Linked DNA regions of Diceros bicornis minor. The protein of the gene in region 4 purifies or fractionates together with the protein of the main gene of each other region. This does not show direct contact. Links are inferred from orthologs where the notes say so. Each region holds a gene or a part of one and is shown on either strand. Other genes may lie near its edges.

Evidence for each region.
Region 1: the proteins of VDAC1 (region 4) and ATP1A1 fractionate together in Homo sapiens (co-fractionation; 3 studies listed by BioGRID, with this or other methods). This does not show direct contact. The link is inferred for Diceros bicornis minor from reciprocal best matches to the Homo sapiens genes VDAC1 and ATP1A1.
Region 2: the proteins of VDAC1 (region 4) and ATP5F1C fractionate together in Homo sapiens (co-fractionation; 3 studies listed by BioGRID, with this or other methods). This does not show direct contact. The link is inferred for Diceros bicornis minor from reciprocal best matches to the Homo sapiens genes VDAC1 and ATP5F1C.
Region 3: the proteins of VDAC1 (region 4) and BSG purify together in Homo sapiens (affinity purification with mass spectrometry; 3 studies listed by BioGRID, with this or other methods). This does not show direct contact. The link is inferred for Diceros bicornis minor from reciprocal best matches to the Homo sapiens genes VDAC1 and BSG.

The regions. Positions count from the first base shown.
Region 1 is NC_080743.1:48,793,596-48,801,099, reverse strand, and holds the start of ATP1A1 (sodium/potassium-transporting ATPase subunit alpha-1), read right to left. Parts: upstream 3,019-7,504; 5' UTR 2,768-3,018; coding exon 2,756-2,767; intron 1-2,755. UniProt on the Homo sapiens protein: This is the catalytic component of the active enzyme, which catalyzes the hydrolysis of ATP coupled with the exchange of sodium and potassium ions across the plasma membrane.
Region 2 is NC_080775.1:8,838,422-8,845,913, reverse strand, and holds the start of ATP5F1C (ATP synthase subunit gamma, mitochondrial), read right to left. Parts: upstream 3,020-7,492; 5' UTR 2,996-3,019; coding exon 2,925-2,995; intron 2,893-2,924; exon of another isoform or gene 2,870-2,892; intron 1-2,869. Other genes in the region: KIN (DNA/RNA-binding protein KIN17), read left to right, coding at 3,270-3,383, 7,294-7,388.
Region 3 is NW_026691553.1:241,584-248,916, reverse strand, and holds the start of BSG (basigin), read right to left. Parts: upstream 3,018-7,333; 5' UTR 2,983-3,017; coding exon 2,916-2,982; intron 1-2,915.
Region 4 is NC_080740.1:53,195,613-53,202,780, forward strand, and holds the start of VDAC1 (voltage-dependent anion-selective channel protein 1), read right to left. Parts: upstream 3,015-7,168; 5' UTR 2,941-3,014; intron 1-2,940. UniProt on the Homo sapiens protein: Non-selective voltage-gated ion channel that mediates the transport of anions and cations through the mitochondrion outer membrane and plasma membrane.

The DNA.
Region 1 (7,504 bases), on a different chromosome or scaffold from region 4:
CTCTTTAAGTCACTACCCATAAACTATGATTTATTTTCTAAGTAACTAAGTTAATATTCAAACAATGGAGAACTAAAGGGAAGGACCTGGTGACATGCCCCCGTCCTCCCCCCGCCCCCCATCTTTTGTAAACTTAAGAAAAGGAAAAGTTTTCGTGTGTACCTTTGGTGAGGGAAATAGTTGTGGGTGGTAGGCCTGGCTGTGGATTTAAGCCAAGTCATTGGCAAAAACACCCACTATGAAAAAAAGGACAAAATCCTATTTCATCCAGGAATGATTCAGCAGGAGCTGTTCTTTCAATTTCTTACCCAAAGCTTAGAAACTAGATTTTTAAGGAGAAATAAAATCACCTGAAATATCATTAAAACCTAGGCCCCCAATGATAGTGGGAAGAGGAGGGGAAGAAATTAACAATGACCTTAAAAATGAGCTGCCAGCACAGGCTTCCTCGTTAACCAATTATCAGCAGGGCCTTAGTCACCACTCCACCCACATTTTAATCCCCATGTGGAAAAATACCAACATCTCAGCATAAAATATCCTTCTGAACATTTGGACTATCACAGTAAGTCACTGGGGACAAAAGGGGTAACTTTATCCTGGGAGAATCACCACCACTTATACACACATACCCCTTAACGTTCAATTTATCATAGTACCCAAAATACTGACTACAACCCAGCAGATAAGCAGCATAGCATCCCGTGTTACCCAGCTGTCATTCAATTTTGTGTTTGCTAGCCACTGAACATTTTATTAGGATCCATTAGACATCTTGGTTGAACCTCCACAACCCAGGTGTGTTGCTATCTTTACCACTACTATGCATGTATGTGGTTACGAAAGAGACATAACAGACACATACACATAACTTACTCAAACATCTCTCTGGTCCATTAATTCAACCTCACAAATACCCCAGTTTCATCTGAAGAATAACTTGAGAGTTCTCCACATAAGGCAACGTCAAGGAGTGCGTGAGTGCTCAGGCTGGGGAAATCACAGGCTGGTTAGGGACGTCTGGTGTGTCATTAACTAACCATTTGACCTTCAGCGAGTCACTTCACCTTCCTAGGCCTTGGGTACATACCTGTGATCTCTACATCCCCCCAAATCAGTAAGGTCCAGCTCTGGAAACAAACTTTTTTTTTTCTGAAGGGGGAGAAATAAAGGAATGAGCTTTAAAGAGCTAGTTTAGGAGAATGATCTAGTGTTTGACACAGTGGTACAAGCACAGGCCACTAACCCAGTTTCCATCCTGGGGAGTACAGAGGCTGGCACTCAGCTCTTTGCCTTCAGCTACTTGACCTGGGCCAGCCCTCCCTCCACATTTTGTGCTTTTAAAAGATACCAGTCATACATTCCCACTTTTTCCTCTCTCCCCACCAGGTCCAAGCCTTTCAAGTACCTCCTTCAAAATCCATTTGGAGTCCCCAAAGAATGAACCCTCCCTCTTCCCCATCACTCACTCCACCTTGAGGAGCCCTAAGAGCCTTCAAAGGCCTACTAAGCACCAGGCACTGTGCAAGAGTTGGTGATAATAATGGAGTGGATTCTCTCTTACCGGTATTCTCATGGCCCCGTCATTTTACCCCACGAATTGATACTTTGGGGATTATTTTGTATAAACTTTTCTCAACTAGACGTTGGCCCCGGTGGGGTCCGGGACTCAGTCTTCTGCCTTGGCTATGGGTTATCACAGCTCCGAGTTACAGAACTGTAGGAACGAGATGTTGTTCTGGTATTCCCACAGCGCTCCTGCACTCTCCTGTCCCGGAGACCCCTCGTTCCTTCGGGAACCGTCTTCCGCGAGCTGGCACTCTTACCACCGCGTACTGCCCGCCACCTCCAGTCCTTTTTCGGGTTTATTGTACCCAGAGGCCCTGGGGGGCTAGCCTGTCTTCCTTCCAGGCTCATCCTTCCAAAAAATTTACACACCCCTCCCCACCGCCAGAATGACCGCTCCAGTCGCCCGGGCGCATCCTGTGTTTATGGCCAGCGTTCCATCAAAGCTCTCAAAAGTATACCTTAAAGGCCATCTTAGGGCAGTGAAGACACACCCTTTCTGGCACCAGCCCGCCCAACCGGCTCCGCAGTAAGGGGAAACTAATTTTTGCCTTGGAGGGAGGGCGGCCGCCTCTACGGGGGAACTGGCTAAGCCCCCGCGCCTGCAGGAGAAGGAGCCTCGGACCCCAAGGCCGCCCCCGCGTCGGAAGCCCGGGCCGCGGCGGGAACGGCGGCCCGGGAGGGGGCCGGGCTGAGCGCCCCAGGGGAAGGGGAGGAGCACGCCTTTCGTCCGGGCACGGAAGGCGGAGGGAAAAAGGAAGGCGAGAGATGGGAGGTGAGAGCGGGCGGAGGGAGGGGAGCCGGGCTCGGGATGCGGCCGCCGGCGGCCGTTCGCCCTCCTCCCGGCCCTGCGGCTCCCGAGCGCCGCCTCCAGGAGCCCCGGGCCGCGGCGCGCTGCGACCCGGGGGCCCGCAGCCCCTCTCCCGGGGCTGCGCACCGCCCCGCGCTGCCGTCCTCCGTCCCCTCGGCGCTCCCTGCCCCCGCCCGCCCGTCCCCCATTACTGCGCTCCCTCCATTTCCAAAGTGCGTCGTCTTTTAAGCCTCGCCGCTCTGCCAACCCATTCCGCGCCGCGCCGCTTCCTCCTTCCCCGCCTCCCGCTGGCTGCAGTCGCCCTCCTGACTTCCTCCTCTTTCTCCTCCTCCCCTCCAGGACTCCCTGCGCCCCCTCCCCGGCTCGCCGGACACTCACCCCCTTCCCCATGGTGGCGGTGGTCTGTGCCCGGCGCCGGGTCCTGTCGCTTGAGAATGAGAGAGAAAAGAGGAGAGAGCTCCCGGCCGAGCGAGCCCGGCCGGGGGAGCCGAGAGGAGGGAGCGAGGGCTGCTGTGGGGCGGGAAGGAGGGAGGACGGCCGGCGGCTCGGGCCGATGCCGCCGCTGCTACTGCCGCCGCCGCCGCCGCCGGGGTTGCTACCACTGCCACTGCCACGTGTCCGCCTCCTCCCGCCGCTGCTCTGCGCCCCAGACCCCGCCGCAGCTCGAGCCCGCGCCTCCGCCTCGCTTCCTAAAATATGCAACCTGCGTGCTGGCCCCGCCCACGCCGCGGCACGTCACCGTTGCCGGAGCAACCTGACACCGGCCGCCGGCCTGGCTCCGCCCCCGCCCCAACCCCATCCCCGGGCTGGCTGCCGCTGGTCTGGGCTCCCGGCAGGAGGGCGCCGGGCCCGGGGCGCGAGTGCCCACGGCCCGGGAGGCCCCGGCCACGCCACTGCGGGGCGCACCGACTGGCTGGGCAGCGGGGCCTCGGCGGCCGTGGAGCTGCCGCGCCCCTCCTCCCGCCGCTCGGCGTGACCGGCCTGCTTTGTAGGGCACGGAAGGTCCGCAGTGGGTGCGGATACGTTTTCGGAACGGGGCTCCCCGAATCTCCGCGGACCCAGAACAGAAACCTCGCTCTGAGGGGCCTTTCTAGTGCATCAGGGAGCTCCTCTGCGACTAAAGGACGCGCCGGGGTTGGGGGTGGGGGGCTTCGGGCTTGACTGCAGCCGGCGCCCGCCTGAGGGACTCCGCCTTCCTGCAGAGTCCAGGCCCCGTGCCCACCTGCAGATGGCCTCCCCAGCCTCTTGGTGCCCTCCCGAATGCCTCCTCCAGTCTGGGATCCGCGTTACCCACTTCCCGCTCGGCCCCAGGAGGAATGGGTCTGAGCCTTGCCCGAGGTCCCAAGCGCCCCCCTGCTTTCCTTCAAGACCCCAAATGACAATCCAAAGGGTGTCCAATGAATTCATTGAAGCTACAGTGAGAATGAAACCTGCTTGTCCAGTTTGGGGATTCGCTTTTTAGGGGAGGAACACTTGAAATGTAAAGGAATGCGTATCTTGAACAAAAGGGACAGACTCGAAGGAGAGAGGTTTGAGGACCTGTCTGGTGCTTCTCCATGCCTCCCACTCGCACAGCAGCGCCTCTTTCAGCGCAGAATTGGGTGCTCTGAGGGACCTGGGCCTGGAGTGTGATGACAAGGCCAGGAATCCCCCAGAGAGCCCTGGCCCGGCTGCGCTGTGGGTCTTGCCTCCCATTGTAGTTTATGTTTCTTAGCAGAGGCTGCAAGTGGCTGAAGGTCTCCAACATTTAGAAAGCTAAGTATTACTATTATTGCTTGCTTTCAGGAAGTCAAGTATACTTTGGGAAAACATAAGATTCGCTCCACGTCTCTGAGAAAGTCGCTCCAAGTCTCTGGGAATTCCTACAAGAAATAAGGAAAATAACTTCCTAAGCAACTTAAAGCTGGCCCTATCAACTCTATTAATTTAACATGAACAAATAAAGATGTGAAGCTTGAAAGAAATGGGGAAGGAAGGAAAAAAGGAAGGAAAGAAGGCAGGAAAGAAAAGGAAGGAGGGAAAACTAGCAACTGTGTTGTCAGTTAGAACATTAGGGTGATTTTTATTCCTTTTTAGAAGAAACTGTTTCTTACATGTGTGTCTTCCTCTTGTCCAAGAACCCATTGTTAGAGGCTGGTGCCTCCTCCAGCCATCTTCAGGCTTGATTAAATCAGTCCAGGCCATGAAGAGCAGAGGAATTGGAAACTGGATTCGAATTTGTGACTGCTGGAGAAAGAGCCCCCAACTCCAGAGCAGAGTGCCCACCACTGCTAATTCAACAGAAGGCATTTGTAGAGTGTTATCAGGGCTCTATCCCCAATGGTCTAGAAAATGCTTTTTTTATATGCTGGTACAGCCCCTGTTACTGCTAACCTGTAGGAGGCTTTCGCTTGCCAAAGGTCCCTTAGCTTGTTTAAGATTAATCATCCCTTGGGCCCTGGTCTGAACAGGAAAAGTGCAGCAAGAACAGCAACAAAATGTAGAAAGCAAAAGTCTGAACAATGTCGATTTCTCCTGCCAGGTGATCCCCTTTTTTTCCCTTCATAAGTAAAATTATCATTTTTTCATTCAAAAATATAACCAGATAGATCAAGGCATTTCCCTTTGTCTCTAGAGCTGTTTACCTGGCAGCTGACGATTGCTGAAGGTCCTTCCAGGAGGACCTGAAAGTTCTAGCTATGTTCCAGAGTAAGGAAGAGACACAGAAGTATAAGAAATATTAACTAAAATCTGTATTTGCCTTTGCCTCCACTTAGCACTTTTACATATAAAATCCTCTTGGATTCTCACAAGTCGGGAAGGTAAAGGGCTTCAGCTGCATTTTACCGAGTGGGAAACTGGAGACTCAGGGACTCAACCAGTGACTGGGGGAGTCTGGCCTCAAAATTACAAAACAGGAACCATCTTCCTAGCTCTGAAGTTTGGTCTCTGAGCATGGCACCAAGAAAGTTTTGGTGGGAGAATAGCAATTGCTATTAACATTGCTGTCCTCACAAATACAGAGGGTTTCCACATGGCTCTCCTCTTTTATAACCAAGAAGACCTCAGCTAGAGCCTTTCTATTTCCACTCTTCATCAGTCTATTGTGTGTGTCATCGTCAGGCAGAGAACCATTATTTTATAGAAATGCCCTATATGGATCTACAAACACTTCCCCCACCCCTATTCTGACCCACCTGATCCCACCTCCAGAGGCAAATCCCATTCCATTTTTAAGGTATTTGATAATGCCATTTTATGTTTCAATCCTATTGAAAAAAACAGAATTCAACAAAAACATTTCAGAATATCAGAAAGGGCCTTGGTATTGATCCTCTAAAGTTGATGCTTTCTCTTAGCACTGCGCCCAAGTGCTATGGTCTCTGCACTTCTGGGCAGTCTTCAGGGGTGTTTTCAGGGGTAAAGGTTATTGCCATGACTTGAAGGCTAATTGTAAGAGGTGAAGAGAAAAAATATGGTAAAGAAGCAGGAGTTGCAAACTTTTGTGGGAAAGAGTGATGGAAAGAATCCCTGCCTGGTTGTAATATGGAGCCCTGGACAGGCCTGTGGAATTAAGACAAAGGGACGGCATCACCAGGCCTGGGGTGCAGAAATCTCAGATGCAAGAGCATTCCCTTGGAACATAGGAGACCAAAGTGGGAAAAGCCCTTTTCTTGGGAAAGACTTGTTTCCTCCTCTTGGGAGAGGCTTCTGAATGGAACTTGAGAGATCAAACACTGCTCATTTTACAATGAAGAAACAGGCCCAGAGAGTGATTGGCACCAGATAGTTCTAGGAGAGTGGTAGAACTTTTGTGCACCTTTTCGAACATCCAGCACAGTGCAGGGGATAAACAGAACTTCCAGAAGACAGGATGGGGCAAGTTCTGCCTCTCCGATCTATCTGCCTCTTATCCCATCAGCTTTCTTTTTAAGCTCCTAGCTTGGGGCACAATTAAACTGATTGACCCAGAGACTCAGCATTTACAGACCCCACGGCTGCCAAGTGTGGATGGCTTCGAGGAGGATTTGACACAAGCATGGAGGGTTGGGCCATTCATTGTGAATAGAGTCAGCAGATGTATGAAAAATATGATGCAAGTCAGTATTTTGAGCCAAGAATCCTAGCACTTTGAGTAAGTACTTGCTGAATTGAATAAACACGCCATTGCAATTAAGGGCTTTAGAATATGAATTGGAGCCTACACCAAGTTAGCATTTTCCATAAGAAGTAAAAATTTGGGAGATCAATGAGCTAAGGATCTAGAAGGACAGAAGTCTTTGCTCCAGCTTGCCCTAGAGCTACTATGGAAACAATCTTAAGCATGCATCTTTATCTTTACTATTTCTTAGGTACCCCGGAAAGTCACTTAGCTGCCCCATTCTTACTGCATTAAAGCCAACTCGTCTCACCATCCCAAAGTTCCTCCTAGCCCAATGTCTATCCCACCATTGCAAATCTATTTTTTCCTGTCCAGCAACAGACATATTATCTCCCACTTTAAAAGCACAGTTCTAGGCACACCACTAACCATCAAAATCTGTCAGCTAGGACCCGGCCTGGCCTGGTGGCATAGTGTTTATGTTCACACACTCCACTTCAGCGGTCCAGGGTTTGCAGGTTCAGATCCCAGGCACGGACCTACACGCTGCTCATCAAGCCATGCTGTGGCGGCGTCCCACATACAAAATAGAGGAAGATGGGCACAGATGTTAGTTCAGGGCCAATCTTCCTCACCCCTCCCACCCCCCCAAAAAAAATCTGTCAGCTAAATAATTCTGAACCCTTTGTAACTTTTCCTCCCACATTCCATTTTCTACTTCTTAATTTACTTTTAAGACTCTTTAGTACTCTTCTAAACATACTTTCTTCTGTTAATGATTTTTGAAGACCTTGGGTCTTGCCTCCGGAAATTTAGAAAAGTCACATTTACTTGATGCCTGTCCTGGGGGCTATTATAAACTACACAGGGTCAAATCCTCAGTCTTTTCCTCAGCATCCCTTTAACACAACTGCCACTTAAATAATTTGCTCTTATTAATAGCAGTCTTTGTAAATAAAACAATTATAGAGGATTCTTTAGTTGTTCCCCAAGTGTTTTACACTGGATCCTGAAATTAAGAGCCAGGATTTGGTCTTCTCTTCTAG
Region 2 (7,492 bases), on a different chromosome or scaffold from region 4:
CTTTTTCACCCCAAAATTTATAGACTATAAGGAGTGACATTCGGACATTATGGTTTTAGGCAGACACTCCGATTTAACTGACACACATTAATATCATATGGAACAAATCTGAATGGCACGCCATAACTGGATGAACCCAGAATGTTTTGGCTTCCGTAAGTGTCCCAAGCAAGAGGTATGAAGTGGGAGGATCTTTTGTGATTCTTTATGCTGTGCACATGCCCTATTTCCCCTGCTTTGAAGCACTCTCATGTTTAACCTTCATTTAGTTCTAAAGATGTCTACCTATGTTACAACTTTACTTTTTAAGTACTATTTGAGTACAAAATGACCATGAGCTGGTCCAAACTCTCTTTAGGTATACAGCCTGCTCTACTGAAGATACAATTTTTGCAAATGAAAAGATAAAGAAAGTTCTGAATCAGCTGTATGTTCTGGAAAATTGCATCATGTCCTGAGAAATCCTCAGGAGATTATTTGAAAACTAGAAACGTATCAAATATAGTGCATGGAAAACCACAGAGATGGTGGATTACCATTATCTACTATGATCATACAGCACTGTTAGCAAAAGCTGGAGAAGGCAGTGGAGGAGGGAGTCAGTGAGGTTGCTAGATGAATGATTTATCATCCAAAGAAATTACAGACAGCTTGAAAGAATTTTAAGGAGTGTATAATGTAAGAATTCAGGAAGAAGTAGCATCTGCTAATTCTTCTTTTTCAGTGTATATAGTTCAATTTACGGCCATTGGTCTCCTATTATAAAATAGTTCCACTTTAGAGAATGTGGAACACCAGCAAAAAGAAATGCATTTTCCCCCAATCTGAAGACAGAAAAATCAGACTCTTTTCCCAAATTTCTTATTTCTATTTTCTTAAATGCTACTTTTTAAAAAGGTTTAATTTCCAAAAATTTAGGGTATTTTACTGATACCCTGAACAATTACAATAATTTCACTATGATTTTAATTAAGCCTAATGTTTAGTTAATGTTAATGTGCTAACCTCCCTGAAACAAAAACTGTAACAATAACAAATTGTTTTTAAAAGCACTTTTAAAAGCTTTCAATAACCAAAACACAACCAAGGAAATGCCTCTTTATGGTTCTGTAAAGGCAAAGGTATTTTTCTCTCTTTCCAAATTAATTCTGTGGAGTGTGAAACATTAAGATGGTTTTAATTTCTGAATTTAAAAGGCAATTAAGTGAATGGGAAGCGAAAGGGCAGAAGAAGCAGGCAAGACATCAGACACTCAGAGATGGAATCAGTGAAAATGCTTTCCACAGTGTAACACTGATGTCTGATGAATATTCATAACCTACTCATCTAAAACCAACATTCCAAAGGGATTAAGGTCAGGACTATGACCTTTATTTGCTGATTGATGTTCCAATTTGGGCCCCTAGGAGTAAGTGTGTCAGACTGAGAGAGAGCTCCTATTTAAAACAATTCTTTGTTGAAAGATCTTCAAATTGTCTTACAGGATGTTAAAAAAAGTTATTTCTCAATATTGACAGGTTACGTTAATGCACAGCAAGATGGGAAGGAAGGAAGGAGAGCTGATGTTTGCTGAGCACCACTGCATGCATGCCAGGAACCCTCCTGCAGAGCTCACTAAGACCATGTCCATTCGTCTACCATCACGTTTTGGCACTTTCCACACTGCCAACTTGGTGCAGGGCAGGCACCCAACATAAATGTCTGCTGAGTGATTAAGAAATGGTACACCCTACCATGCAACTAAGATGACTTCTTCATTCCCATGAATACTCTTTTCCGATATTAGAAAAAAAACTCTAACTTGACATCACATTTAAACACCTCATTACTCTGAAAGTCTTGTCTGTTATAAATTCCTTGCTTAATGAAAAAACAACCTATTTCAATTAATGCTTTATAGTCCCTTCACAGAAAATAGGATACAAAAATCTAGTTTAGTGCTGTAGCTCCTTAGAATTCTCCCTAACCATAAAACTGGGGAATGGCTACACACAGCCTATAATTAATAATCCCCTTAGCGCTGTGTCTGAAATTCTCCCACACTGTCTAGTTTAGAACATTTCATCCCATTATATGGTATCAGCCACCCACCAACTTTTATCTGCTTATTCCTAGGGCTTCTAATATGCATTTTTTTTCGGGAACCCACGTTTAAAATCTTTAAAAGTGACATGGCAGTTAACAGATGACACTTAAGAGTCCACCTCTCTCCTCCTCGGGGCCTTGGGACAACTTCATGACCTTGCAGGGTTACTCCTTCAGCACAGTGGTTTCAAGACAGTGCTAGGTGTCTTTCCTTCCTCTCCAGAAGACAGATTTTTAAGGGATTTTTAAAGTCCCTTTTGCAGCCCACGAGGGCACTTATTTTATTCCCGTGTCCAGCAAAGCGCCTGCTACATCCTCGGCGCTGACCACACGTTCTGGAGGAATCGAGCGGCTCCTGAAGGGTTCCTCCGCTCTGCGCTGGGCCCTTTCAAACTCTGCCCAGCACCGGAGGGTTTCAACGGGCGTCAAGGACATAAGGCACAACTTAACCTTCCCCTAGACCTTGGTCCTCCCCTCCCCCTCACTTCGGGCCCAGGTGAAGACTCCCCATCCTCGCTGCCTGGCACTAAGCACTATTAGCTGAACGAATCCAAGACGGCCCTGAAATTAATTCGGACTAAGGTCTCAACCCCGAGGTCCGGTGACCAGCCCTCGTGGCCCTCACCCCGCCCCGTCTCAGGGACGTGGCGTGACCCCGCTGCCCCTCCAGCCCCTCCGCGCGCCCGGCCCGGCCCCTCCGCGCTTCCGGCAGCCCCGGCCTCCCGGGGCCTCCTCGGGACTGCGGGCCTGGCCGGCCCTGCGACCCCCGTTCCGCCCCACTCACCTCCACCCGCTTCCCCTTCCCCCTGACCGAGCTCTTCCATCCCTCCGGCTCCTACCGCAAGCTGCCATACCATTGCGGCTGCACGGCCCAGGCCGAGAGGCCAGCGACGCCCGCCCGAGAGAACATGGTGCTACCGGCCCTGCTGAAGGTCGGTCAGACAGGCCTCACTGCGCATGCGCGGAGGCTTCCCGGCACGCCCCTAGCGCCCCGCTGTCCCCTGCAGTCTCGCTGCCTCCCGCCAGACGGGGGGAAGCCTCGCGAGCGTTGGGGCCCAGCCTACCGAGGCCCCGCCTCCTTCCGACTCGCGGACGGTATTTGTCCCGCCCACCGCCGCCAGCCCCGTTCCGCTTCCGGTTGGCAGGGCGCTGGGCTCCGCAAAGTTGTTGCTGCGGTGGTCGCGATGGGGAAGTCGGATTTTCTTACCCCTAAGGCCATCGCCAACAGGATCAAGTCCAAGGGGCTTCAGAAGCTGCGCTGGTATTGCCAGATGTGCCAGAAGCAGTGCCGGGACGAGGTAAGTGGGCCCCGCTGGCCCCATGGCGGCGCCCCGTCCTCTCCCAGGAGGGGCCCGCTGATCCAGGCCAAGTCCCTGAGGCGGGGGAGAGGGCCAGGGTCCCAGGTCCCCGTCGTGGGGTCTGCACCGGGCGAGTCTGCTGCTCAACTCAGTAGGGCCATCCTTCCCTGCCGCCCCGGTCCTGGCTGGGAACCAGGGCTCTTTGACAGCTCATTCTTCCCCAGTCTACCCCAAAAAGAAATGGAACAAGAAAAGGTTTTGCAGCTCTCGCAGAAGTGATCCTACTCAAGCTGTCTTAAAAGGGAGGCGTGAATAATTAAGTGCGGGCTCCGGGGCAGTAACAGTAACAATCATCTCTGACTGGACGTGACTCTGAGAGTTGATTAGGATTCACACCTCTTTTTGGGATCAGATGAAGAAGAACTAAGCTCGTGCACACCCGTCATCTAACAAGCATTTATTGAGCACCTACAGTGTGGCAGGCCCAGAGTATTGTGGTGAAGATGCGGACTTGGGGATCAGACCGTCAGAAGTGTGAAGCCTAGCCGCGCCACTTACTAGCTGTGTGGTCTTGGGCAAGTTACTTACCTTCTCTCTGCTTGTTTACTATTCTGCAAAGTGGGAATAATGACTGTGCCTACTTGTAACTTTGTCGTGAGTTTTAAATGAGTGAATTATGTGTAAAGTGACTCAGGGGGTCTTTGGGCAGATCTTGAGAAGCTTTGTATGCTGTGCTATGGAGTTTACACTTTTTCCCATTTTTAAGGTGGATGGTGAAGCACCTTGAGTAATTGAGAGCAGGCTAGTGATGGGATCATATTTTTCCCTGGAGATTGAGTTGGGTGGGGGCAGAAGAACGCTGGGCAACCGGAATAATCTAATCCAGTGTGTCTGCAAGTGAGGGATGAGATATTTTAGGTGGGACTCACATTGAATAACATTGGTACACTTATTCTCTTTCATTTGTCTTTAGTTCTTTCTAGATGAAATTCTCACGCAGAAAACTAGAGACTAGTACAATGAACATCCATGTATCCACTACCCAGGATTTTATCCACTACCCACTACTTAACATTTTAAGGATTTTGCTGTATTTACTTTTTTCTGAATTATTTGATTGATTTATTTATTTTTTATAAATGTGTTCATTTCCCTTATTTTCTTTTTTTTTTAAGATTTTATTTATTTATTTATTTTCCCCCTAAAGCCCCAGTAGATAGTTGTATGTCATAGCTGCACATCCTTATAGTTGCTGTATGTGGGACGCGGCCTCAGCATGGCTGGAGAAGCAGTGCGTCGGTGCGCGCCCGGGATCCGAACCCGGGCCGCCAGCAGCGGAGCGCGCGCACTTAACCGCTAAGCCACGAGGTGGCCCTTTCTGAATTATTTTAAAGTAAATTTCAAACATCAGGATATTTCACTTCTAAATACTTAAATATGCTTCCCTAAGATATCAGGGTGTTTTTCTACATAGCCACAATATATGTCATCAGACATTACAAAATTAATAAAAAATCCTTTATATCATCTGATAGACACGCCATATTCATATGTCCTCAGTTGTTCCCCCAAATGCTCTTTAAAGCAGTTTTTTAAAAACAGGATCCAGTCAAAAGCTATGAATTGGATTTGGTTATTAGGACTTTTTAAAAAATAGACTTTATTTATTTACAGCAGTTTTAGGTTCACAGCAAAAATGGGCAGAAAGTACAGAGATTTCCCATACAGACCCTGCCCCCATAGATGTGTACAGCCTCCCCCACCATCAACATCCTGCAGCAAAGTGGGACATTTGTTACAGTCAATGAAGCTACATTGACACCTCCTTATCACCAAAGTCCATAGCTGACATTAGGGTTCACTCTTGGTGTTGTACATTCTATGAGTTTAGACAAATGTATAATGATGCGTATCCACCATTATTGTATCATACAGAGTGGTTTCACTGTCCTAAAAATCTCTGTGCTCCAGGTTATTAGGACTTCTAATTCTCTCTAAATTATTGGAATAGAACCTACCTCCCCTACCCTCTGCCCCCCTCCCCCTATTTTTTTTCTTGACGTTGACTTGGAGGGATGAGTCCAGTCAGTTATCCTGGAGCATTCCCACTTTCTGGATATGTTGAATTGTTTCCTTGTGATTCTCTTTTGCCCTCTTTCTCTAACTCTTGTAGTTTCTATAAACTGGAACTTAGATCTAAAGGCTTGATTAGATTCAGGTTAAATATTTTGGGGAAGAATGCTTCATAGGTGATCCAGTGTATTTCATATTGCATCACATAAGGAAGCCCCTAATGTCTAGTAGTGCTAAGATGATTAAGTAAAGATAACAACCTGTAAAGTAACATTAGAAAGTAGTATTTTCCCTCTTGCAAGAGCAAGAAACTAGTGGGGTAGTACTTTGAAATCATGCCCCTATATCTAATTTCCCATCAACATTTTGCCTATGTGTTTAGCATCCTTTCCTGAGTCACTTATTTCATTAGGAGTTGCAAAGTGGTTACTTTTCTAATTCTTTTGACATTTATTATTGGCGGCCATTCATTTGTAAAAATGAGCTTTTTCTCATCAACTGGGGCTATGGGTTACCCTCAAATGTTATCCCAAAATACGATTCCTGTGGGAAAGGGAAGATAAATGCTTAATTCTTTCCTTTAACTACCAGCTTTCAGAGCAAGGCACTTGTGGTTGCGGCCTGTTTGCCCTCAGATGTGTTCATGGCCCTTCCCTACCCAGGAGGGCATCCTGGGGGAAGAGAAGTTGACCCCTATAAATTCCTTCCCGTCTTCTATGTCTCAGTATCGGAAGACTGAGGGAGAGAGGAAGGTCAGATCCAGGGTATTCTCCTCCTGCTCATCCACTCCTTTGGATTTCTAGAATTTAATAACATTATTTTGTTTCATTTTATTGACTTATTTTTAATTTATGGAAAATGGGACTGGTTTTTCACTTAGGACACCGGTACCAAGTTTCTTTTTAATATAAGTGTAAGTAAGAGTAATGCACAGGTAGTATACAGATGAGGCGAAAAGAATGTAAGTGGTCTGTGGATGATTAAACATTAGGAAACAAAGCAAGATCCAGTGCTGAAATCTGGACGGTGGCAGTGGGATTGAGCAGAGGGACTGGATAAGGGTTATTAAGAAGGCTGGGTAGACTTAGTGCTGAGGGCAGTGTGGAGGTGCAGAAGAAGGCTTCGAGGATGCTGTCCTCCGCCCTGGCTTGAGTGATTGCATTTGTGATAATGCTGTTCACTGAGGTGGGGAATACAGGAGGAGAGACACATTTTTCATTTCTATTACCAGTGAAGAATCAGGTTGAAATGTTAAGTAGAACAAATACAAGGTCAAAACTTGTATGTTTTTCACAATCATCCGAAGAAGAAGATACAGATTTAGTATGTTTAACCTAAGGTTTATGTAATGTGCAACAATGTATTTTGGATAATGCACTCAAGTAGGGGAAAGTGAGTGAAAAATAGTTTCCTTAATGGAAATTCACTAATGACCCATTTTACTTCATTATATTCCTCGAAGCACCTGCGTAACACTCTGTGTGAAGTAGGGGCTCAATAAGAATTTGTTAAATTGACCAAAAAAAATGAAATCTCTTTTCTGTTACTGAGCCCAGTAATGTTTCTCACTAATGTCTCCTTTCTAAAGCACTATTTTTCTGTCTCTTTAATCTCTAGGTTATTCTTTGATTAGCAGAGTTGCAAATTCAACTTCATAAAAATTTTTTTAAGAACCATAGAGTGCTTACAGCTAGTGATTTGATTATTGTTATTATTTTTTTTTTTTTACAATTTATCATCAAAGAGCAGCTGTTTAGGGTTTGATTAAGTACTTCTATTTAGGACCCATTATGATGACGTAAATCAGAATTTAACTACTGTCTTTACATTTTTGTAGAATGGCTTTAAGTGTCATTGTATGTCCGAATCTCATCAGAGACAACTATTGCTGGCTTCCGAAAATCCTCAGCAGTTTATGGATTATTTTTCAGAGTAAGTAACTCAAAGACATCCTTATCTCATAAGCTTCATTCAGTTGGATGTTTAATAGATACTTAATATTCTCTGTATTGGAGGCTCTGTTTATTCCTTATGTA
Region 3 (7,333 bases), on a different chromosome or scaffold from region 4:
ACAACAGTGGTGGCCCTCACTGGGATCACCACACAGACACTTGCCGCTACAGGTAACGTTATATCTGTGATGTGGAAACACCGCTGGGACAAGGCCAGCGGGGGTCACAATGGAAAAGGCTTGGAACAACGCCCTCCAGCCCCCTCGGCCCCGCCCACCTCGGGGAGCACCCCCCAGAATCTACAGGGAGCCTCCACCCCCAGAGCCGGGAGCAGGGCGGGCGCCTGGCCCTCCGCCACCCTGGAGACGTGAGAACTCGACTCGGGCCACATGACCAGAGCCCACGTTCTCAGTAAAGTCACCTTCATCTAAAAACAGCCACCCCTCCCGTGTGTCCGCTCGGGGCAGGGCCGGGCTTGGGCAGGAGGCCTCGTGGCAAACAGCCCCGGAGCGCTCAGGACGGCCGTCGGGCGCCCCTCCACCCCACCCGCCGCAGAGCGGGAGCCCAGACGGGAGGGGACGCCAGCCAGGCTCTTCCCCTCCATGCCTCACCTGAGGACCAGAGAGACCACGGCACCGGCCCGCAGGACCCAGCTAGCAAACCGCTGCCCGCCCCAGCAGGACGACGGCACCCTGGACAGGCCCGGGCAGGGCCAGGGTCTCCCGGCAGGGCGTGAGAAGCCGAGTGCCAGCCTCTCGGCACCCGATGCTCGAATGGAGGAAACCGCCCCTGGCAGAGGCCCCGAAGAAAGCTCCTAGGACTGACCCGTCCAGGAGAGGCGAACACTCCACTAAGCCCCTCACCCACCCCGGGAGAAGAGGCCGGCACCCCGACTCTCAGATCCCCCCTGAAGCCCCTGGGAACGGTGGAGCCGTCACAGGGAGAAGGGGAGGCCCGGGCGCAGCCCTGGGAGAAGCAGGAGGCCCGAGGCCTTCCCACCCGCTGGGCCATCGAGGGCCTCGTCCAGAGGGCTGAGGGGCCTATCTCCCGCGCGCACCTTGCCCGCAGGCTCCTATCTGCCCGCAGGCTCCTATCTGCCCGCAGGCTCCTATCTGCAGGCAGACAGCGGGCAGGCTGGCCGCAGGCCAAAGGCCCCGGCCCGGAGGCGGTCAATAAATGGTCATTCTGATCATAAGGAAGGAGGCGTGGACCGAGACCTTAAAGTGGGTCAGGGGTAACCGGGTGAAGCGTGTGCCACAGCAGCCCCTCCCAGCCCTGCTCGGGACAGCCGCCGGAGCCCGGACCCTTCTGGGCTGCACTTTGTCCCCTCCACGCCGGGCACCATAAATCTTTAACCCAGAACCGCAGAACGAGTCTCGGCACAGGAAGGAGTCATCCCTCTCCGTCGTGCTTTCTTCTGGAAAAACGGTCTTATCACACGTTCCCAGCCGCTTCCTCCACACCAGACGTCTGGCCGCCCCCACCTCGGCCCACGCCCGTGAGGGCCCGGGGCCCAGCCCGCCTGAGTCTGCAAGCAGCCCTCTGCGCTCCGGCAGCACACGGCGACCTTGAACATCTCCCCTCTCGACCCAGGCTCAGTTTCCACGCCGCAACAAGAGTAAGGGGCACCAACACCACCTCGTTCTGGGCCCCGAAATCAGACAAGACCAGAAGAAGCAGAGCGTGCGGGCCCCTGCAAGGGGTCAGTGTTGGGGCGGACACGGGGCAGGTCCCAGCGCGGCCCACGGGACCTAATCCCGGGAGGAATGACAATCCCTTCCAGCTCCCGGGAGCGGCCGCTTCCTGAGCATGTGGCTCCTGCACCCACTTGGGGACAATACCCACTTTCCAAATGAGAGCCAAAAGCCCCGGGGTGGGGGTGGGGCTCTCCACTGCACCCCTCCCCAACACTCCCAGGGCAGGGGCCCCACTCCCTAGCTGCCTCCCCAGGCCACCAGGCTCCAGCTGCTCAAGGACGGGGGGTGGGGGGGGGTGGGGGGGGGTGTCCCTTCCCTGGAGAGATGCGTGGGGGTGCCTCCAGATCCTCTCCCCAGGAGTCCTCATCAGGGGGTCAGGCCAGTTCAGGGCTCCTCCCCTCCCCCAATCAAGAAAATCAGACTTCACTCCAGTTCTTCCCTAGTCAGGCCCGTGGGGCCCCCTAAGCACAGATATCCCCCTAGCACTGCGCCCAAGGAGCCCCCGGGGTCCCCCCAAACCCCAGGGAGCCCACCCAGCACTGCTCCCCCCAGAACTTTCCGCAGCCTCTCCTGAGCCCCCTCAAACCCTGGGACCCCCTGCAACACCCCAAGTCCCCCCGAACCACGGGAACCCACAACACTGCGACACCCAGAACTGCCCCCAAGCCCCCCACAGTACCTCAGTGGGCACCCCCACATCCACACTACCACTCCTGGGATCTTTCTGGTCCCCTCAAAACCCAGAATTCCCCCAGAACTGCCACACCGGGTAACCCGCTGGGTCCTCCCAAACCACAGAAACTCCCCCGGCACTGGGATCCCCCGGAACCCGCTTGAGCCCCCCAAACCACGGGGACGCCCACATGCCGCCCCCGGGGAACCCGCCGCGTGCCCCCACTCCCCGGCCACCCCCTGCACTGCCGCCCCCGGGCATTCCTCGGGTCCCCACAAACCCCGGGACCACCCCCCACACTGCTGACCCCGGGAACCCCCCAGGTCCCCACAAACCCCGAGGACCCCCCGGCATGCCGTTCCCGGGAACCCCTCGGGTCCCCACGAACGCCGGGGAACCCCCCCGTATGCCGCCCGTGGGATCTCCCCGGGTCCTCCCAAACCCCGGGGACCCCCTCCATGCCGCTCCCGGAAACCCCCCGGGTCCCCCCAAACCCCAGGGACCCCCTCCCCAACTGCCGCCCCCGGGAACTCTCAGGGTCCCCCCAAACCCCGGGAAGCCCCCCGCATGCCGCCCCCGGGAATCTCCCGAGTCCCCACAAACCGCGGGGACCACCCGGACTCCGCAGGCCCCGAGCCCGCCTCCCCGCACCCGCTGGCCTCACCTTGCCCGGAGCCACCCTCGCCGCCCAGCAGCACGAGCCCCAACACGACCACCAGAGCGGCCGCCATGTCACCGCCGTCCCCGCCGCAACCGCCGCCGGCGGCGCTATAAGAACCGGGCGGCCGGCCGGGCGCGCGCACGCAGGGCGGCGCCGGGGGCGGGGCGGGGTGCGCAGGCACGTCGGCCGCCGTCTGCGCACGCGCACGGGTGCACGTACGCACGCGCTGGCCCGGGCAGGCTCGCGCTACGGAAGCCGGGGCGGCAGCACCACGTGACCCGGGCAGGCCACGCCCCGCGGCCTGGGGCGTGGCCGCGTTGCTAGGAAACAGGGGGGGCCCGCGCGGGCGGGGCTGGGAGCCTGGTTTCCCTTCGTTCTTTCGGAAACGTTGTTGGAACGGAGCTGTGCACCCAAAAGGGGCTAAAATGCTCCATTTATACTATGTGTGTTCTGTCACGACACGAAAGAGAAAGAAGCATTAGAGGAGGCGATAGAGATCCCTGTGAACAGGTGCACGTGTGCCCTGGGGCGGGGGGCTGCCAGATTTAGCAAAAAAAACACCCGGACGCAGTTAAGTTTTAAGTTTAAGACAGAGAACGAGTGACTTCTTAGTGTAAGTACCCGTGCAATATTGGGACATACTTATTCAAGGGAAGTATGGCTATTTATCTGAAATTCAGGTGTAACCGGCTGTCCTATATTTGCCTGGAAGACCTACCCTGGGGTTTGTCTTACAACAAATACTTTAAAAAACGACAATTTCAAGCAAAAACAGGATCATGTAATCTTCGTGACCCTGGGCTAGGCAGTGGTTTCTTAGACGTGACACCAAAAGCGCAAGCAACAAAGGAAAAAATAAATAGGACTTCATCAACATTACAAACTTTTGTGCCTCAAAGAATACTAAGAAGAAAGTGAAAAGCCAACACACAGAACGGGAGAAAATATCGGTGAATCGTATCTGATAGGGACTTATATCTATAATACATAAAGAACGCTGACAACTGGATAAAAAAAAAGACGCACGACCCTGTTAAAAAACGGACGAAGGATCAGAATATACGCTTCTCCAAAGAAGACACAGAAACGGACGACAAGTACATGAAGAAGGGCTCAGCATCCTGAGCCATCAGGGGAATGCAAACCACAACCACAGTGAGACAGCAGTTCACACCCGCTGGGACAGCTCGCAGCGAGAACGCGGAAGACAGCAAGTGCTGGTGAGAAGTGGAGACACCGGAGCCCTGTGCACAGGTGGCGGGATGGAAGATGGTGCAGCCCCTGCGCAGAACATGGGCAGGGCCTCAGAAGGGTAAACCAGAGTTACCATCTGACCTGGTAATTCCACTCCCCACAAGAACTGAAAATCCACGTCCACGTGGAAACTTGTACGTAAGTGTTCACAGCAGCATGATTCGTAACGGCCAAAAAGCAGAACAGCCCAAATGCCCATCGATGGATGAATGGATCCACACAACGGATCCATCCACACACTCGAATACGACACAGCCATCAAAAGGAGTGAAGCCCTGACACAGCTATACTGTGGACGGACCTTGAACACACGATGCTCAGTGAGAGAACCAGACACAGAAGACCACACGGTGTGTGATTCCATTGATGTGAAACGTCCAGAACAGGCACATCCACAGACAGAGAGTGGGTTCATGGTTGCCAGGGGCTGGGGGATATGGGTGAGGAGTTACTGCTGATTGGGTGGGATTGCTTTCTAGGGTGATGAAAATGTTCTGAAATTGAATGTGGTGATGGGTGCACAACTCTGAAATGTACTAAACCCACTGAGCTACAGACTTTACTTGTGTGAATTGTATGGTGTGTGAATTATCTCAATTAAATATAGGGTAATGTGCTTTAGATAAGGGGTCAGGGACGCGAAGACATACAAGGTGACAAGAACAAGGAAACAGTGGCCACAGTAAGGGGTGAGCGGTGTGTCTGGGAACAGCCTGTCTGGCCCGGGGAGGCAGGTCCAGGGAGGAGGGTGGGCAGAGCCGGCAGAGTCCCAGCTTTGGGGGGCTTTGGAGGAAAACGTGGGAAGGATGTGGCAGAGGGGCCGGGACTTGCTGATGAAGGGGTTGTGGGTGAGGACCTCACTCCTGGGGCCTGGAGCCTCAGAACCGCCCGGGAGCCAACCAGAAGCCCCAGCCCCAGGCCCATCCGGCTTGTTGAGGCCGCACGCAGGGGGGTTGAGAGCTACGTGCAGAATGGGGGAGGAAGGCCGCCAGCTGGCTTCAAAGCCCCTGGCCTGGGCAGGATTTCTGGCCCCCGCCCCGCCCTCGCTGGGCTGGGCTGCGGACAGATCTCATGGGAAATATCAGGGCTGCCGGGAAGCCTTTGTTTACGGAACAAAGCTGTGCCTCCTTGAAGACCCAGTTTTCTGTCCCCCTCCCCGATCCCCGCTCTGTTCTGTCCTGGCCTCACCCTGGGGCAGGCGGCTCCCTGTCCCCCTCTGCCTCCACGGAGAGGCCAGCCAGGGCCACGCGGGCTGGGTGGCCAGATTTACCAAACGGAAATACAGGACACCCAGTTACATTTGAAGTTCAGATAAAAAAAAAAAAAAATCAGTACCTTTTTAAGTTATCAGTAGGTCCCACGCAGTATCTGGGATATACTGATCCCCAAAATTGCCTGTCCTACGTCTGAAATTCAAATGTAACTGAATTTGGCGTCTTCCATCGGCATCTCTGACCCGGTCCCCTCACCCTTGTAACTCCCCTCATCGCACAGGTCACTCTCTGACCTCACGTCCATCCCGGGCCCCTTGCCTGCTGTCCGCCTGCCCGTGTGCAGGGCAGGGACAGCCAGCCTGGCCTGGGCCCTGTGCCGGGCCGCCATCTGCCCCCTGCGGGTGCCCCTAATTGGCTGTGGGCGAGTGGACATCCAGGACCCTCGCTGTCTCCCACCCTGGCCTCCGGGGCCTGCACCCCCTCTGGGAGGGCCCGGATTTCAGATCTGGCGGCTTCCTCTGACAGCAGGAGAAGGAGGCAGCTGTCTCCTCTGGCCTGGATCTCCCTCGTTCCAGCAGCTCTTGCAATCGAGGCCGAACCCCTCCCTCGGCCTCGCCCCCACTGACCCCTTCGGCCTCGGCGCCCTCCACCCACCACGCCTTTGGCCCCAGCCTCACTGGCAGTGTTTCCTGCCTCTGAGCCTTTGCCCAGGCTGTGCCCTTTCCAGGTCACTGCCTCGCCCCTTCCCTCCCTGGCAGAGGCCGTCTTGTCCCGAGGGCCTCACACTTGAGACACCGGCCGCTGTCCCATCGCTGGGTATCTGCCCTGGTTTGCTCACCTTGTGCTTTTTCTTATAAAACCTTTCAACTCACAGATGGGAGGAGAGACGACGACGTAGGATTTTCATTCTCTGTCACACCTCTGTCCCTTGCTCGAATGTTCCAGCTAGTTCTCCAGGCGTATTCTTCTGGGAGCTTGGAGATGCAGCCCGGCCCCAGGCGGTGACGGCTGGGAGAAGGTGGATTTCATTCCTGGGCCCCAGGGAGCCCGGGGAGGGATGTGAGCAGGGAGGGTCGTCCTCTCCTCTGACCTGTGTCATCGGGGGATGTCTCGGCCGCCAGGGGAGAGGCCCTGGGGGTGGGAGTGGACATGGGCAGGGGACAACAAGGCAGCTCCCAGACCCTGTGAATGGGACTTTATTTGGAAAAAGGGTCTTTGCAGATGTAATTAAGAGTCTTGATATGAAGTCCTCGTGGATAAGGGTGGCCCTAAATCCAATGACAACGTCCTTATAAGAGACAGAAGAGGAGCGACAGACACAGAGAAGCCATGTGATGACAGAGGCCGAGACTGGGGTGATGCGGCCACAAGCCCAGGACGCCGGGGCCCCCAGAGGCTGGACGAAGCAGGAAGGACCCTCCCCTGGAGCCTCTGGAGGGAGCCCGGCCCTGCCACACCGTGATCTTGGATTTCTGCCCCCAGAACCATGAGGGTGTAATTTCTGTTGTCTTAAGCCACCCAGTTGTGCTGTTTTGTTACGGCCCAGGAGTGCCCGCAGGCGGGGACCCGGGAGACACCCGGCCAGCCAGCCTGGCACTGGCGTTAAGGGCGGGCGCGTCCGTCCACCGAGTGCCACCACCACCGCCGCCCTGCGAGGGGGTCACGGGAGCCACCGCCCTCCCCACCCCCGTCCATCACCGGTATCTTCCCCAGAAAATGCAGACAGTCCCTCTAGATGAGCCTTTGGGCTTTGGACTTCTGCGCCCGTGGGTTTGTAGTCTTTTCTAGCGATGCACTCCAAAAAATAAAGATAAGACAAGACAAAGATAAATCCGTATAAGAAAGGAAGATAACCAGTCTTTCCCCAGCCTGGTCCACCAGGCTGATAACCGAGGGTTTCTTTTCGTTGACGGTTATTCATGAGTGTCAGGGACCCTTGTCGACCTCTGGTCG
Region 4 (7,168 bases):
TCCTTGCCATGGCCCCGTGGAGTGGCAGCTGCAGTGTGAAAGCACCAGCACTGGAGCTAGCCAGACCCAGCCCTGAATCCCAATTCCACTCCCACTGAGCTGTGTGACCTTGGGGTGCTTACCTCACCCCTCCGTGCTCAAGCCTCCTAACCCCTGAAATGGAAACAATAGCACCCCTCTCCCCAGGCTTGTAGGAAGGTGGATTCAATGTCACACAACACGTCAAGCCCCCAGGAGTGTGCTGAGCAGGCCCTCAATAAAGAATGACTGTCATGATGACAATCACACCTCTATAGTGGAGAAACTGAGGAACAAGAAAGCAACGTGACCTGTACTAGACCCTACGGCTCATGTCAGAGCTGTGTTGCAAGCTCCATCTGCTCTCCAGGACTCTTTCCAGCACAGTTCTGGGTAAAGGGTGTAAGTGCCCACTCACCCCCACCCCCCTGAGAGCAAGCAGTGAAATGGAGGATTGTGCCCAGGCCCCGCTGAGGATCCCACTGGTCACCTTTCTTCAGGGACTACCAGAGGAGTGTGTGGGGAGCCCAAGGCTACAGGCCCTCTAGGCACCCTGAGGGGCAGCCTGCAGGCTTGGGCTGGCTCTCAGCCCCACACACGCCTCTCTCAGTCACGACCACCAAGGACATCACACAGTGAGAAAGTCCATCCAGGGTAAAGTGGACTTCAGTGCCTCAGGAGTATCTAACCAGTAAAGGTGGGGGTGAAGGGCCCTCATTACCACCAGCTTGGAGGTCGTGGTCCACATCTGCATAATGTCCAGCAGGACCAGAGGCCCACAGGCAATTCCTCACCATATGGTCCCCCTGAGCCCCTGGGTTTGTGTCTACAAATAGCCCCTGCCTATAGCCTATAGAACAGCAGGAATAAAACTAAGTAACCAACTGAGAGCAGTCCCCCGTCCCCATCCCCATTTACAGTCCTCCTGTAAACCTGCTCAGGACAACTCCAGCAGAAGCCATCAACCCACCCACCATCAGAGACGGAAGAGGCGCCAGGCCCAAGGCCTTTAAGAGAATCCCATTCGCCCATGTCACCTCCCCTGCAAGCCCAGAAACACCAGTTCAACAAGTTCCCCACAGGACTTGGAAAGCCACAGAATGAAGATAATGTGTTTAAAGCAGTTATTTCAAATTAGGAAACAGTTTGCCTCTCACTGCTCTAGGGCTGCACATACCATTGCAGCTCTTAAATATTTGGGATTCTCCGCTACGTAAGGCTATTATTTTCTGGAAGTGAGTGAGATGCGTGTGTCCCTCAAGAAGGATGTCCAGGATGAAGGGACCATGGCCCAGGCCTGCCGCCACTTCACATGCCCATCCAATCATTCACAAACACTTAATGGGCACCTACTATAAGCCACATGCTGGAATGGTAAAACTACCTTTCTGTCAATAAGAGTCGACTCTTGGACAAAAAGCAAGAGTGCATTTACCCCCAAAGACCCTTTAAGTACCTACTGTGGGCCAGGTGGCTCTACCCCAGGCACTGAAAACAAAGCTGCAGAGGGCTTAAGCCTGACCCTGTCCAGAGGGTCAGTCCAGAGCTGGGTGGAGAGAAAGGAGGCAGGCCCTCGGCAGTCGGCCCCGGCCTTGTCAACAGCATATTAGGCAAAGGAGGAGCCCACTTCCTTCTCTTCTCTGGAGAGGGGAAGCTGGTCAAGGGGATGCGGGCCTCAGGTGGTACAGGCCCAGGCCTAGCCCAGGTCTGCACTCACACTCAACCTCCTGCTCCAGCCTGACCTTGTCTGTCTGTGAACTTAAAGGATTTTTCACGAATTATCTGCAAGTTACTCAACGCCTGGCACACAAATGCTTAATAATAATGTTTAAAATAACAGGGCTACGTTTACTGAACTCTTTCCAGAACACCACGTGGAGCAAAACGGTGTGCAGGGGATGGGCTAGACCCTCCCCAAAGCCTCAAGGGTGCATGCCAAGGTTTCTACAGAGGCCTGCTCCTTGCCAGGCACTGTTCTAAAAGCTTCGCGTTAATCAAGTCATTTTATTTTTCCTAAAACCCAGTGAGGAAGAGGTATAATTGCTCCCGCTCTACAGATGAGAAAACTGAGGTTTAGTATCTTCCCAGCTGCGTGACCTTGGACAGTCACTAGGGCTGCGGCCTCAAATCCAGAGGGCTCTGGACCAGTTTCATGAGCGCACCACCACATTTAGTAAATGAATGAACGATCAAACTGGGAATACTTCCAAAGGCCAAGGAGGCCAAGGCGCTCCCAGAGGGGCCCCCTTCGCCAAGGCCTAACCTCTTGCCCAGGCCCCAGCCCAGGCCCCTGCGGCCTAAGTCGGCTCTCGGCCTGCCGTTCCGCCCCGGAAGGCGCTGGCACGCGCGGACAGTGCCGGGCGCCAGCTTCTCCGGGCGTGGACCGGGCAGGCCGGACAGGACGTGCGCGGCTGGGGGCGCAGGGCCACGGTGGTCACATGAGCTCATCCCCACCGGGACGGTGTGGCCCGCACAGGTCCGAGGGCCAGGCCCGGCCGGGCGAGCGTGGGTAGCGGGAAAGTCCCTGCCTGACCGGCGCTGGCGGGACCGAGGGCCTGAGGGCACCGCCGGGGAAGGTCACCTAGATCTGCAGCCGGCCCGGCCTCCACGCGGCGGCCCGTGCCCTTCCGCCCGCAGGTCCCCGCGGGCTCTGGCCCCCAGCCCCAGGCGCCTCCGGATGTCCGTCCTCCCGCTCTCCCGCCCGGGCCCGCTCGCCGCCCGCCCGCCCGCCCGCCCGCGCGGCCTGCTCGGCCCTCCGCTGACCAAGCAGCCCGCGTGAGCCGCTCCCGCTCCCCCCTCGGGCCCGGCCCGGGGCCCCTCGCCCTCGCCCGCTCCTCCCTCATCTCCTCCCCCTCAGCTCCCCAGGAGCCCGGCCTGCGGCCTGGGACGCAGGCAAAGCCCGGGCCCGTCTCCTGCGCCTACCTTGGAGGAGGCGGCGGCGGGCTCGGCGGCGGCTACGGCGGGGGCTGCAGCGCGAGGAGCCGAGAGAGCGGCGGGGCCGAGGGCGGGGCGGCGCGGACGGCGGCGGCGCGGACCCGCCCCGACCCAGCGCGCCCGGCCCGGCAAGCTCCACCCCCAGGGCCCGCCCGGGACACCGCCCAGGCCGGGCCCCGGGCCGCTTCCTGCTCCGGAACTGCGCTCTTACCTCCCCGGGCTCCTTAGTGCCCGCAGCGGACGCGTGTGCCCACGGGCGTGTGCGGGGGCCCGGGAGTGCCTGCGTGCGCCCGGGCACGGGGCGACGGGGGCTGACGTGCGCACGATGTGTGCGTGCGCAGGGACACGCGTGTCCGGCCTTTGCTGGAAATCCCGCCCGGTTGAAGCCTTCGGCGAGGAGGGGGCCTCTTTCGGTTAGCTGAGCGGTGGCCCGGGGTCCCCTGCGCTCAGAGAAGACACGCGGGGTCCTGGGCCTCCTGCTCGGCCTCGGGGCTGGAAAACAACCCTCCCCTGCTGGGGGAGTTTATGTGGCGGGTGGCGCTGGCCCAGGGCCTAAGCCTGGGTGGACGAGGTGATCCCCGAGTCCCCCAGCAAAGCCCGCGCGGGCTGTCAAATCGGGCTCCGAGCCCGTGGGGCAGTCCCAGGCCCGGCTCGGGGCCGGGGCGCCCGAGGCGGCGCGGATGCAGAGCGGCGGCCACGACTGTTGCTCCTCGGCTCCTGGCTCCTGGTTCCCGACACAGTGTTTCCGGAGCCTCCGATCCTTCTTCACGCCGCGCGCGGCTTGCAGAGCCCCGCGATGGCCGGGGGCGAAGCACCAGGAAAACCTCCCTGTGCGCCGAGTTTGCATTCCAGATTAGCAGACAGTTTGCCCCGTAGCGAAGCTACTAGCAGCCATTTTCGGAGTTTTTGAGAAGTAAAAAAAGTAAATTGCGTTTTGCAACAACGTCCTCTGCTGGGTCTCCCGGCGGGCCGAGGTAACGCAGGTTCCCACCGGCCGAGGGCCTGCCTCCCGCGGAGCTGGGTTAAAGCGTGTGGAGTCTCCCTGCTAGGCCTAAACGGGTGGTCTCCTTCACTGGGTGTCTCTGGCATCGCGCGTGAGGCCCACTCCAAGCCGACTTCGAGAATTAATAAATTCGTGGCTGGATGAAGATTCTGCACATCCTTCGCCTTCGGCCAACAAACGTTCTCCAAGGCTTGAGGCGGCTAAGACCCCGTGGAGGAGGCGCCAGGACACTGGCTCACAACCAGCGGCGGCACAAATTAAAGCAGTAGGCAAGTGGGGCGAGCGAAGAGGCAATCAAGACAGACTGCTGGAAAGAGGCGGCAGCTTAAATGGGAAAGTGGCAACTGGTGTTTCAGTGGGGGCGGGGTGCTGAGAAGAAGGGAGCTTATTCAGGCAGTGCGGGCAGAGTGCTCTGGGCCCTTTGGGGGCTCAGATCTGACTGAAAATGTGAGGAGGAGCCCCTAAATCCCTTGAGGTCCTGGAGAGTGGAGGACCGAAGCTAGAACTCTCCCCAGGCCCCTGAGCTGTTCTATGGCTGACTGGGGACTCCAGGCTTCCCAACCTGGTGGTCCTCACGCTGCACACAAAGGCCCCAGCCCACTCCAGGAGAGGGTCAGGCAGGGAAAGCCACTGCGTCACCCATGAGTGCAGTGAGGCAGAGTTTGGAGGACAGGACCTCAGGGAGGCAGGGCAGGACCAGGTGGCTCTGCGGGAAGATGGGGCTCCAGAAACCTCATACAAGCTAGAATCAGATGCTGCGCCCTGGGTCAGTGAGAACCAAGTGGCACTTAGACCAAATGTCTGAGGTGCTCCCTCCCCTCCACACCTTCCTGCCACCCCCCCTTTCAGGACCCTCCACCTGGGGAGAGTTCCCCATGCCCCACCTGCTCTGAGTCCCTTCTGGGGCTCCCCTAGATGCTGCTTTCAGATTCATCACCTCAGCCCCCTTGAGTCACTTACTGGCTGTGTTACCCTGGGCAACAGGCCTAACAGCTTCAACTTCAGAGGGCTGTTGTGAGTTTAAAATGGGACACTTAACAAGTAAGCACTCAGAAAACAGTGAAGAAATCCGGTGGGACATGGAAGCCCTCAGGCCCTAGTGTTGACCCCTCAGCACCACAACCCTAAGGCAAGAGCTGAGCAAAGGCAGCTTGTCATACCAGGCTTACCAACCCCACCCCCAGCCAAACGGCCACTCTGTCTGCCACAGCTGATTGGCCTGGGGTGGACACTGGCCCAAGACCAGCCAATCAGGTCCTCTTGCAAATTTGACCTAAGAAACCCATGTCAGGTCTAATAGTTTTTCTTTGGGGGAATGACTCTTCTCCTCCTCCTCTCAGTCCACAAGCTTTGATGGAACTGTCTCCATCCCTGACTCCAGGGCCATTCTTGGGGTGGCCCTGTGGCTTGGCCTGACCAATCAGAGCATTGCACTCCCCTGGCTACAGGGATGGGCCAATGAGACCCAGTCAGAAATCCTGGGGCTATTGAAACACCTAACCGCTTTCCTGAAAATGAAGCCAGCCCCCAAAAGAGAGACAGAGATTAGGTCCTAGGGACATCATGCTCTGGGATCTAGCCATGCCTCAGGCAACTCCCTGTGCTTTGCAGCTGTCTGTGCTGAAAAATTCACTTTTTACTTTGTCCAGTTCTGATTAGGTTTCCTTCCAGGTCCTTACTCAGTTCACCTCCTCTCTTCAAGCAGAACAATGTACAACATCCAGGAAAACTGAGATTTTTCTTTTATTTTTAGTATTGGAGTGGGTGACCAGTGTAAGAATATTTCATTTAGGGAAGTTCCTTCTTATATCTAACTTACAGCCATAGGGCTTCTACTATAGATATTTAGCAAGATGGAAAGCAGCCAATCACCTTCCTAAGAACCTATGTTGAAACACTTCCCACCCTTCTCTTTTCAGGGCCAGAGGTCCCTGTACCTCTTTACTGTCTTTGCCAAATAATCAGAACCTGAAGATGAGGTCTATGAAAGTAGAAATGGAAGATGTAATTTACATAAATTAATTTTTAAAGTGAAAAACATTCTGCTTGTAACCAGCATCTATGAATTGGATTATAAAGCTGAATTGTCATAAAACCTAACCTTTCTAACCAATTTCTAGACTAGAGTCTGGTTAAGAGGAGTCAGGATTGAGGATTCGTGATCAAGAATCCCAGGCCATAGTCCCCACATTGTGCGCTGACACTCATCACACAGGGAAGGACCTGGCCAGGCCTCCAGGTTCTGGGTGACGTGGAGAACAAAAGTCAACCAGGAAAACAGAATGGAAACCATCCCAAGATAAACACAATAAAAATTTTTCTCCTGCATATCCAAAAGCATGAAGTGTCCTAGATCTAAAATAGTTCCAAGAAGTTCCAATATCATATCCATGTTTTTTTTTAATTTTATATACATCCACACAGAAATATTGGAAAGAAAGTATTAGTGAAAGTTGTGTTTCAATTTATGGAACTATGAGTGATTTTTTTCCTTTTGCTCTTTCTGGATTTCCCATATGTCCTTTAATGAGAATATATCTTTACTATAAAGAGAACTTTTTTTTTTTATGAAAGCCAAACGATCAGGAGAGGTTGTATAAACTGATACAATCTGGAAAGCAATTAGGCAATGTGTAGTAAGAATCATAAACCTGCTCCTGGGACCTATGCTAAGGCAATAATCCTGAGTATGGGGAACGCTAGCTTCAGGAAGGCACACAGCAGCCCAGTGTGGAATGCAGCCTGGTCTCCAGCTTGAGAAAATGGAAGCACATCCTCTCTGTGGAGCTTTCATAGCCTTGGGGAGAGAAGGTCACAAAGACTTCCTGTGGGGACTACTTCTGCTACAACGCTAACTGAAGGCAATCATGTATCAGTGTTACTGCAACCACACCATTAAATACTATAGAGGCAAACTATGGTAGACAGAATAATGACCTCCCAAAGACAGCCACGTCCTAACCACCCAGTCCTATAAAGATGTTACCTTACATGTCAAAAGGACCTTATCAGATGTGATTATGTTAAGAATCTTGAGATGGAGCCAGTAGCCTGGATCATCCAGGTGGGCCCAATGTGATCACAAGGGTCTTTATTTATTTACTTTTTTTTGTGAGGAAGATCAGCCCTGAGCTAACGTCCATGCCAATGCTCCTGTTTTTGCTGAGGAAGACAGGCCCTGGGCTAACATCTGTACCTATCTTCCTCCATTTT